Linked DNA regions of Nothobranchius furzeri. Each later gene encodes a partner of the first gene's protein in a complex. Links are inferred from orthologs where the notes say so. Each region holds a gene or a part of one and is shown in the gene's direction. Other genes may lie near its edges.

Evidence for each region.
Region 2: strn3 (region 1) and programmed cell death protein 10-B share a complex: the UniProt entries of both Homo sapiens proteins name them as parts of the core of STRIPAK complex. The link is inferred for Nothobranchius furzeri from reciprocal best matches to the Homo sapiens genes STRN3 and PDCD10.

The regions. Positions count from the first base shown.
Region 1 is NC_091758.1:17,976,926-17,981,243, forward strand, and holds the start of strn3 (striatin-3), read left to right. Parts: upstream 1-1,499; 5' UTR 1,500-1,852; coding exon 1,853-1,993; intron 1,994-4,318. UniProt on the Homo sapiens protein: Calmodulin-binding scaffolding protein which is the center of the striatin-interacting phosphatase and kinase (STRIPAK) complexes.
Region 2 is NC_091758.1:24,820,541-24,824,361, reverse strand, and holds part of programmed cell death protein 10-B, read left to right. Parts: coding exon 1-33; intron 34-133; coding exon 134-260; intron 261-1,156; coding exon 1,157-1,235; intron 1,236-1,318; coding exon 1,319-1,401; intron 1,402-3,821. UniProt on the Homo sapiens protein: Promotes cell proliferation. Modulates apoptotic pathways. Increases mitogen-activated protein kinase activity and STK26 activity. Important for cell migration, and for normal structure and assembly of the Golgi complex.

The DNA.
Region 1 (4,318 bases):
GGGGGCCTTTCTGGTTGTAGTCTCCTTGGGGTTCCTGCATTCTGGGGCAACGCCTGGATCTCTGGGACTTGGAGCTCCCCCCGTCTCCTGCGCATCTTTGGGGGGCAGATCTGTGGTCCCTCACACACTCTATTGGACGTTCCTATAGAGAAACCTTACATAAACAAGCGTGTGTACAAACACAGGTGCTCACATGGTGCTCTCATAAGTATGGGCTTGGGCACGTTCAACACATGTCTTAAGGCTGTCGTTGCCACTAAATGCACTATGATTTATTATCGTGTGATTGTTCAGTTAAACAATGTTGATTGTATATTTCTTCAAGTTGACGCAGTGATAGCTTGCTCTTTTTGTATTGTGTGTCCCATTTTTTAAAATTATTTTTTCCCTTTCTCTTTCTGCAGGTCTAGAAGCAAACTCTTGTTCATTATTGTTTATTTGTCCCCCCCTCTTTTCCTTTCTCTTTCACCTCTGACTCCGTGTCTGGTCGGAATTACAAAGCATTCCAAAACAATAACAATAAAGTTTTAAGTATCAGGCGTGATAAAAGCAGACACTTTGATGCTCCACCTGAGAGTAAATCTGTAAGGCTTGTCACCAGCATTCAGACTTCAATTCTCACAGCCAGACTGGACAAGAATTTTTATTAAAATAAACAAATAAATAAATAAATGCATCCATGAACATTTTAAGGCTACATAAATATCAAGACTCAAGTAAACATACAGCTTAAAGGTAGTAGCGGAGACACTTTAAAGTTGATAACTGAATACACTTAGAAATTAATGAATAAAAGTTATCTTTACGAGTTGTTTTTGCCTGGTGGTGGTCTCACCTCCTGACCAGGCAACACCATTTATAGTTACTTAAATAGTTATAGTTTAGAGTAGCAGGCGCTACTTGTAACATTAGTTATATAAATAAACATTTTCCCATCAAAACAGACTTTGATGAAAAGATGTGATGTTATGTCGATTTGTGTTCCCCCCTCGAGATCTGTTTCTTTTGCACCCGGCTGCAAATTACGATCCAATCACAAAAAATAATCCTCACCCTAACCAGCTGGCACCAAAAATTTCTGTTTAGCATAAATATAATTTTAGAAAATATTATGTGTAGCGCAATTTTTATGTTTGTTTCAGGGTTATGGTTAGGGTAAGAGTTGGGGTAAGGGTTAGAAACACACATTTTTTGCGAGTGGATGGTTCAAACTCGCAGCTGGGTGCAAAAGAAACCGAATCTCGAGGGGGGAACACATATCGACGTAACACCGCCTTATCACACGTGCAGTTTGTACGATTACGAGACTGTTCCTACTCGGAATTTGTAATGTCCAAGTTCAGTGATGATAAACGAACCGCATTTTATAGCGAGGCGAAGACTCCATATAAGATAACTTTAGGACAAAGAGGTTCGGAAGGAAAGACTAATTTATTGGTAATACACCCTCCGGTCCAGTTGGTGGCAGTAATGCACGAAAACGTTTACTAATCATCATTGTACAAGAAGAAAATGTCCCATCATGCAGCGCGGCTGGATTCTCTCACAGTGACAGTCAGATCCAGACTGAGCGGCGATGGCAGTCGGTTAAATTATCTCGTTCACGCCACGGTAATAACCAGCCGCTCTCCCTGAGACGCTCCTGGTCAGCAGCCGCCCACGTCGGCGGCAGGGGTCCCGCCGAAATAGGCACGAGGCCGGCAGAGAGACGGTGGACTGTCGCTAAAGCCTCCCATAAAACAACAATATCCAAACGAAACGTTAAAACAAGGAGGAACATCCCGGCGGAGGAGGAGCGGCTCCGCGGCCGCAGCAGGGCAGCAGCGGTGCAAAAGCACCGATCGAAGCCGTCATGGCGTCGCAGAATGCCGATGACTTGCCCCGGCCGCAGCAGCAGTACACCATTCCTGGAATCCTACACTACATTCAGCACGAGTGGGCCCGGTTCGAAATGGAACGGGCTCATTGGGAAGTGGAGAGGGCCGAACTCCAGGTTAGCCACATAGCACGGCTACCCAAACACCTAGCGTTAGTTAAAACCACAGTAGGTCTAAACAGCCCACTGACAGAACCGAACCGAGCCTTCTAGAAGAGGATCGGTTTGAAATAAACAGATTGTTGGTGTTCTGGTGTGTGAATGATTGATGTTAATGGACTTAGCCACTAACCACACTTAGCCTCTAGACAGCAGCTAGCTGCACTGTGATCTGTGGGCGGTTCTGGGTCGGAAACTGGCTACTGGTTCCTGGTTTAGATGGCCGCGAGTATATTTAATTATGTCATCTCATCTGGTCCGTCTCAGCTAGCGGAGTTAGCAGTGATGCTAAGGCCAGGACTCTTGAGTCAGAATTCAGATAACAGCTTCACCTCCGTGTGTGTGTGAGAGAGAGAGGGAGACCCCACATCCTCTAAACTAATAAAGTTCTCAAACATCTGCAGCCAAGGCTCAATACAAGCTGACTGTTGGTGCTGTGCCTTTGGAGTGTAAAAATCCGCAACATTCATAAATGTCAGAAAGGTGATGAAAAAGTCAGAAAATGACACAAATCCTTCCGTCCTTTAGGTTCTCGTGGCTCAGGTGTCTGAAATATGCCAGTTGTGTTGTTCTGGTGCAGGTGCTCATCTACAGGAGGTCTGGTTCTCACATAAGAGCATAAGCGTAAGGGTAGCAGCCTAAGCGGATAGGCCCAGACTTCCCTCTCCCCAGCCACTTGGGCCAGCATCTCCAAGGGAATCCTAAAGAGTTCCCTGGCCAGCTGAGAGACATAGTTTCTCCAGCATGTCCTGGGTCTTCCTTTAGGTCTCCCGGTTGAACACGCCTGGAAAACCTCACCAGGGAGGCATCCTAAGTAGATACCAGAGCCACTCTCGATGTGGAGGAGCAGCGGGTCTACTCCGAGCCCCTCCTGGATGACCAAGCTTCTCACCTTATCTCTAAGGGAGAGAGCCCAGCCACCCTTGCAGAGAAAACTCATTTTGGCCACTTGTACCTGCAATCTCGTTCTTTAGGGTTGTAACGTAGATCCACCGATAAATCGAGCGCCTTCTGGGTCAGCTCTCCCACCATAACAGCTGGTACAATGCCCGCATCACTGCAGACGCAGCACCAGTCCACCTATCTCCCGCTCCATCTTTCCCTCACCCGTGAACAAGACCTAGACCCAGAGTTACTTAAACTTCTCCACTTGAGGCAGGACCTCATCCCTGACTCGGAGAAGGCAATCTACCCTTTTCCTGACTTGACCATGGTCTCGTATTTAGAAGAGCTGATTCTCATCCCGGCTGCTTCACATACGATCCGCTTCAGGGAGAGCTGGAGATCACGTTCTGATGAAGCCAACGGGACCACATCATCTGCAAAAAGCAGATACCTGATCCTCACCCCACTAAAACAGGTCCCCTCAACACCTTGGCTGTGCCTAGAAATCCTGTCCATAAAAGTTATAAACCGAATCGGTGACAAAGGGCAGCCACGGCAGAGTCCAACTCTCACCGGAAACAAGCCCAACTTACTGCCAGTGATGCAGACCGAGCTCTGGCACCGGTCTGAGTTATTAAGTAGAAATTAATTAGCATCAGGAAACACGCTGAGGTCAGCAGGTCAGACCAGGAGAACATTTTGGCCTTCTGTCAGTCTGTCTGTTGCTTCACCGTAGTTTACACTAGGCTCTGCTTTGTCACCAGTTTGTTGCACTTCACTGGTTCACATGATGTTTGTCATGTTGGCATTAGTTGGGGTGAAACTGGAGAGTGTATTTCAGGGTTTTGTGATTCCTAATATTTGAGGGTAGTGGTGATGAAAAACGAGAATTGCTGGTGTTTTAAATGAACGTTTGTTCCAGCCACACTTCACGTTCTTAGTCGATTGATGTTCTTCATGGTGTAGTAACTTCCTACAGCTGCTAACACACTGGGATTATTCGGAATAATGACATCTTAATATTTTTTCTTGTCTGTTTATTAACCGGGCGTATAAAGGGACTGGCATTCAAAAAAGAGGTCAGTCAGAGCTGGTTTGGTTTTGTCAATGTTTAATTTTAGTGGTTTACCACCCCTTACAAAACACGCACACACACCAGGCCAGGGATATTCAGTTCCAGGCCTGGAGGGCCAGTATCCAGCACGTTTTAATTTTAACTGTTTCAACACACCTGATTTCAATCAGCAGGAAATAACAGGTCTGAGCTGCTGCCCTGGTGATTCAATCACTGAATCAAGTGTTGGAGCAGAGAAACCACTAAAACGTGCTGGATACCGACCCCCAGGACTGTCTAGGCCAACAGACATTTTAAAGAACGTAATGTTGAGTTGAAGCAAA
Region 2 (3,821 bases), about 6.8 Mb from region 1:
CTCTGCTGCGCATGGCGGCGGATGATGTTGAAGGTAAGTTAAGGAAACGATGTTTTGGGTTTTCTCGCCCTAATTTCATGTTTGTTTTTTTGAGCGTGTTGATAAATGTATCTGTGGGAATGTTCTCCTGCAGAGTTCATGATCGACAGGCCTGAGCAGGAGTTCCAGGACGTAAATGAGAAGGCCAGAGCACTGAAACACATCCTTAGCAAAATCCCAGATGAGATCAATGACAGAGTACGCTTTCTACAAACTATCAAGTGAGTGTCTGCAACTTAACACACGGGTTTTTAAACCATCTAGAGCAGGGGTGTCAAACTCATTTTAGCTCAGGGGCCACATTGAGGGAAATCTAGTCCCAAGTGGGCCGGACCGGTAAATTAAAAAATACTTCAGATTGTTTTCTTTGTTTTAATACAGTCAATATAAAACAAGGCTGGAGCCTGAGGACAGTGTAGTACAAGTACAACACCTGAAGTGTACTTGAAAATTTGAAAAAAATTTAAAAATCAACAAATAAAAACATTCCTTAGTGATCCAAAGAGCTTACAGATCACATGGCAAGATCAGTTTCATGCAGCACTTAAAGTATATTTGACTCATTTTACTTTACATCTTTTAGCTTTCACCAGCACATCAATATCAGAAGTCACATCCCGAGTGGCAGCCAACTTCAGGATGTGACTCAAGTTCTTGTGTGGGCCTTGAGCACAGCTTTGTTTTATTTATACTCATTACAGAGAAAACTTGCTCACAAAGATAAGTTTATTTTAACTCTACATTGTAAAGTATGAAAATAAAGTTTACACATCCGGCCCGCGGGCCGCATATTTGACACCCCTGATCTAGAGCAAGAGTATTCAATGCCGGGCATAGAGGCTCCATAGGTGCTTCGTCCACTAAATCAAGTATGTTTGAGCAGAGAAACCACAAAAACATGCTGGATACCGGCCTTCCAGGCCCAGAATTGAATACCCTGATCTAGAGACAAGTTACCTTAAATATCTTGTGGATCAGAGAAATCAGTTCTGAGGTTCTTCCCAAGTCGATATCAGAACACTTTTAATGATTGTTATGTAAACATAGAGCCTCGTGTTTCATTCTGAGTAGTTGGTTTGAAGTTCTGTTTCTTATCCAAGTTGCATTCTGTTCACAGAGACATAGCAAGCGCCATAAAAGACCTCCTGGACTCGGTCAATGCTGCCATTAAGAGACACCAGTACCAGACTCGCAGAGTGAGTAGTGGAGCATGTCTGTTAATGTTTAAAATCTTATCTTTGCTTCTGCTAATCATTCCTTACTTTTAATGCTCATAAAGCCCCTGGAGCACCAGAAAAAGGAGTTTGTGAAGTACTCGAAAAGCTTCAGTGACACCCTCAAAACATACTTCAAAGACGGAAAGTAAGTGTGACCCCTGATGGTATGGAAGAGAACAGGAGAAGATTTGTGTTTATTGTGTAAAACACACATTACCTGGCTTTAGACCCTCGAGTCAGTCCAGTTTATGCTGCTAAGTTGAGCTTTCTTGTTCAGAAAAGGAAATCTAGTGAATTAGCTAATTAATGTCTGATGACTGATTTTATTTTTAGTGAACTTTTAGTGAACTTCCCCCAAAACACACACCAGAGCAAAAAATAAAAAGAATTGCATCAGCACAGCTAAAGTTATTCAAAAACACAACTGCCTGCACAGAAAAATGCACGAGGGACCTCTAAGGGTCAAATTTACAGTCAGGTCCATAAAAATTGGGACATCAACACAGTGCTAACTTTTTTTGGCTCTATACACCACCACAATGGATATCAAATGAATCGTCAAGATGTGATTTAACTGCAGACTGTCAGCTTTTATTTGAGGGTATTTACATCCAAATCAGGTGAACGGTGTAGGGATTACAACATTTTGCATATGTGCCTCCTACTTGTTCAGGGACCAAAAGTAATGGGACAATTGGCTTCTCAGCTGTTCCATGGCCAGGTGTGTGTTATTCCCTCATTCTCCCAATTACAATGAGCAGATAAAAGGTCCAGAGTTCATTTCAAGTGTGCTATTTGCATTTGGAATCTGTTGCTGTCAACTGTCAAGATGAGATCCAAAGAGCTGTCACTATCAGAGAAGCAAGCCATCATTAGGCTGAAAAAACAAAAGAAACCTATCAGAGAGATAGCAAAAACATTAGGCGTGGTCAAAACAACAGTTTGGAACATTCTCAAAAAGAAGGAACGCACCGGTGAGCTCAGCAACACCAAAAGACCCGGAAGACCAGGGAAAACAACTGTGGTGGATGACCAAAGAATCCTTTCCCTGGTGAAGAAAACACCCTTCACAACAGTTGGCCAGATCACGAACACTCTCCAGGAGGTAGGTGTATCTGTGTCAAAGTCAACAATCAAGAGAAGACTCCACCAGTGTGAGGGTTCACCACAAGATCTAAACCATTGGTGAGCCCCAAAAACAGGAAGGCCAGATTAGAGTTTGCCAAACAACATGTAATAAAGCCTTCACAGTTCTGGAACAACATCCTATGGACAGATGAGACCAAGATCCACTTGTACCAGAGTGATGGGAAGAGAAGAGTATGGAGACAGAAAGGAACTGCTCATGATCCTAAGCATACCACCTCATCAGTGAAGCATGGTGCTGGAAGTGTCATGGCGTGGGTATGTACTGTATGGCTGCCAGTGGAACTGGTTCTCTTGTATTTATTGATGATGTGACTGCTGACAAAAGCAGCACGATGAATTCTGAAGTGTTTCGGGCAATATTATCTGCTCATGTTCAGCCAAATGCCTCAGAACTCATTGGATGGCGCTTCACAGTGCAGATGGACAATGACCCAAAGCATACTGCAAAATCAACCAAAGAGTTTTTGAAGGGAAAGAAGTGGACTGTTTTGCAATGGCCGAGTCAGTCACCGGACCTGAATCCGATTGGGCATTCATTGCACTTGCTGAAGACAAAACTGAAGGGAAAAGGCCCCAGGAACAAGCAGGAACTGAAGACTGTTGCAGTAGAGGCCTGGCAGAGCATCACCAGGGATGAAACCCAACGTCTGGTGATGTCTATGTCTTCCAGACTTCAGGCTGTAACCAGTGTTGGGCAAGTTACTTCAAAACGGTAATGCATTATTTACTACTTGTTACCCTCATTTTAAAGTAATTCATTACATTACAGTATTACTGATTTGAAAATGTAAGGCATTACACTACTTTTGCATTACTTTAAGCTACTTTCAGCAAAACAACTTCAGTATGAATCTGGTAATCTGACGCTCAGTGAGCTCATGACATATATGTGGAAAGTGATGTGGTGTCTGAGCTAGGATTGCTGTTAAAAACAGTCAGATATAATAACAGTGCTTTAAAATGATTGTTTATTAATTAAAAGCAACAACAATCTGTACTCTCAGCATGCTGCCATCTTATAGTAACTGAGCAGGGAGTGAGGTTCAAAATTCAATTCAATTCAAAAATACTTTATTAATCCCAGAGGGAAATTGATTGCTGTAGTAGCTCAGGATAATAATAATAATCAAGTCGTCAAAGAGTTATTGTATATTACAATGGCTGTTGGCAGGAAGGATCTCCAGTAGCGGTCAGTGTTGCATAGGGATGGGTACCTTTGACATTTGAATCGATCCGGTACTAATTACCGGTACCTAGGAATCGATACCGGTACTTAACGGTACCAATTTTCGATACTTTTGAGTGTTTATTATTTTAATTCTCTTTTATAATTAAATATATATTTTTCTCAATATATAACAATATTTGATAAATATCACGATAACATACAACTGTTTGTATTTTAACATTGTCCTT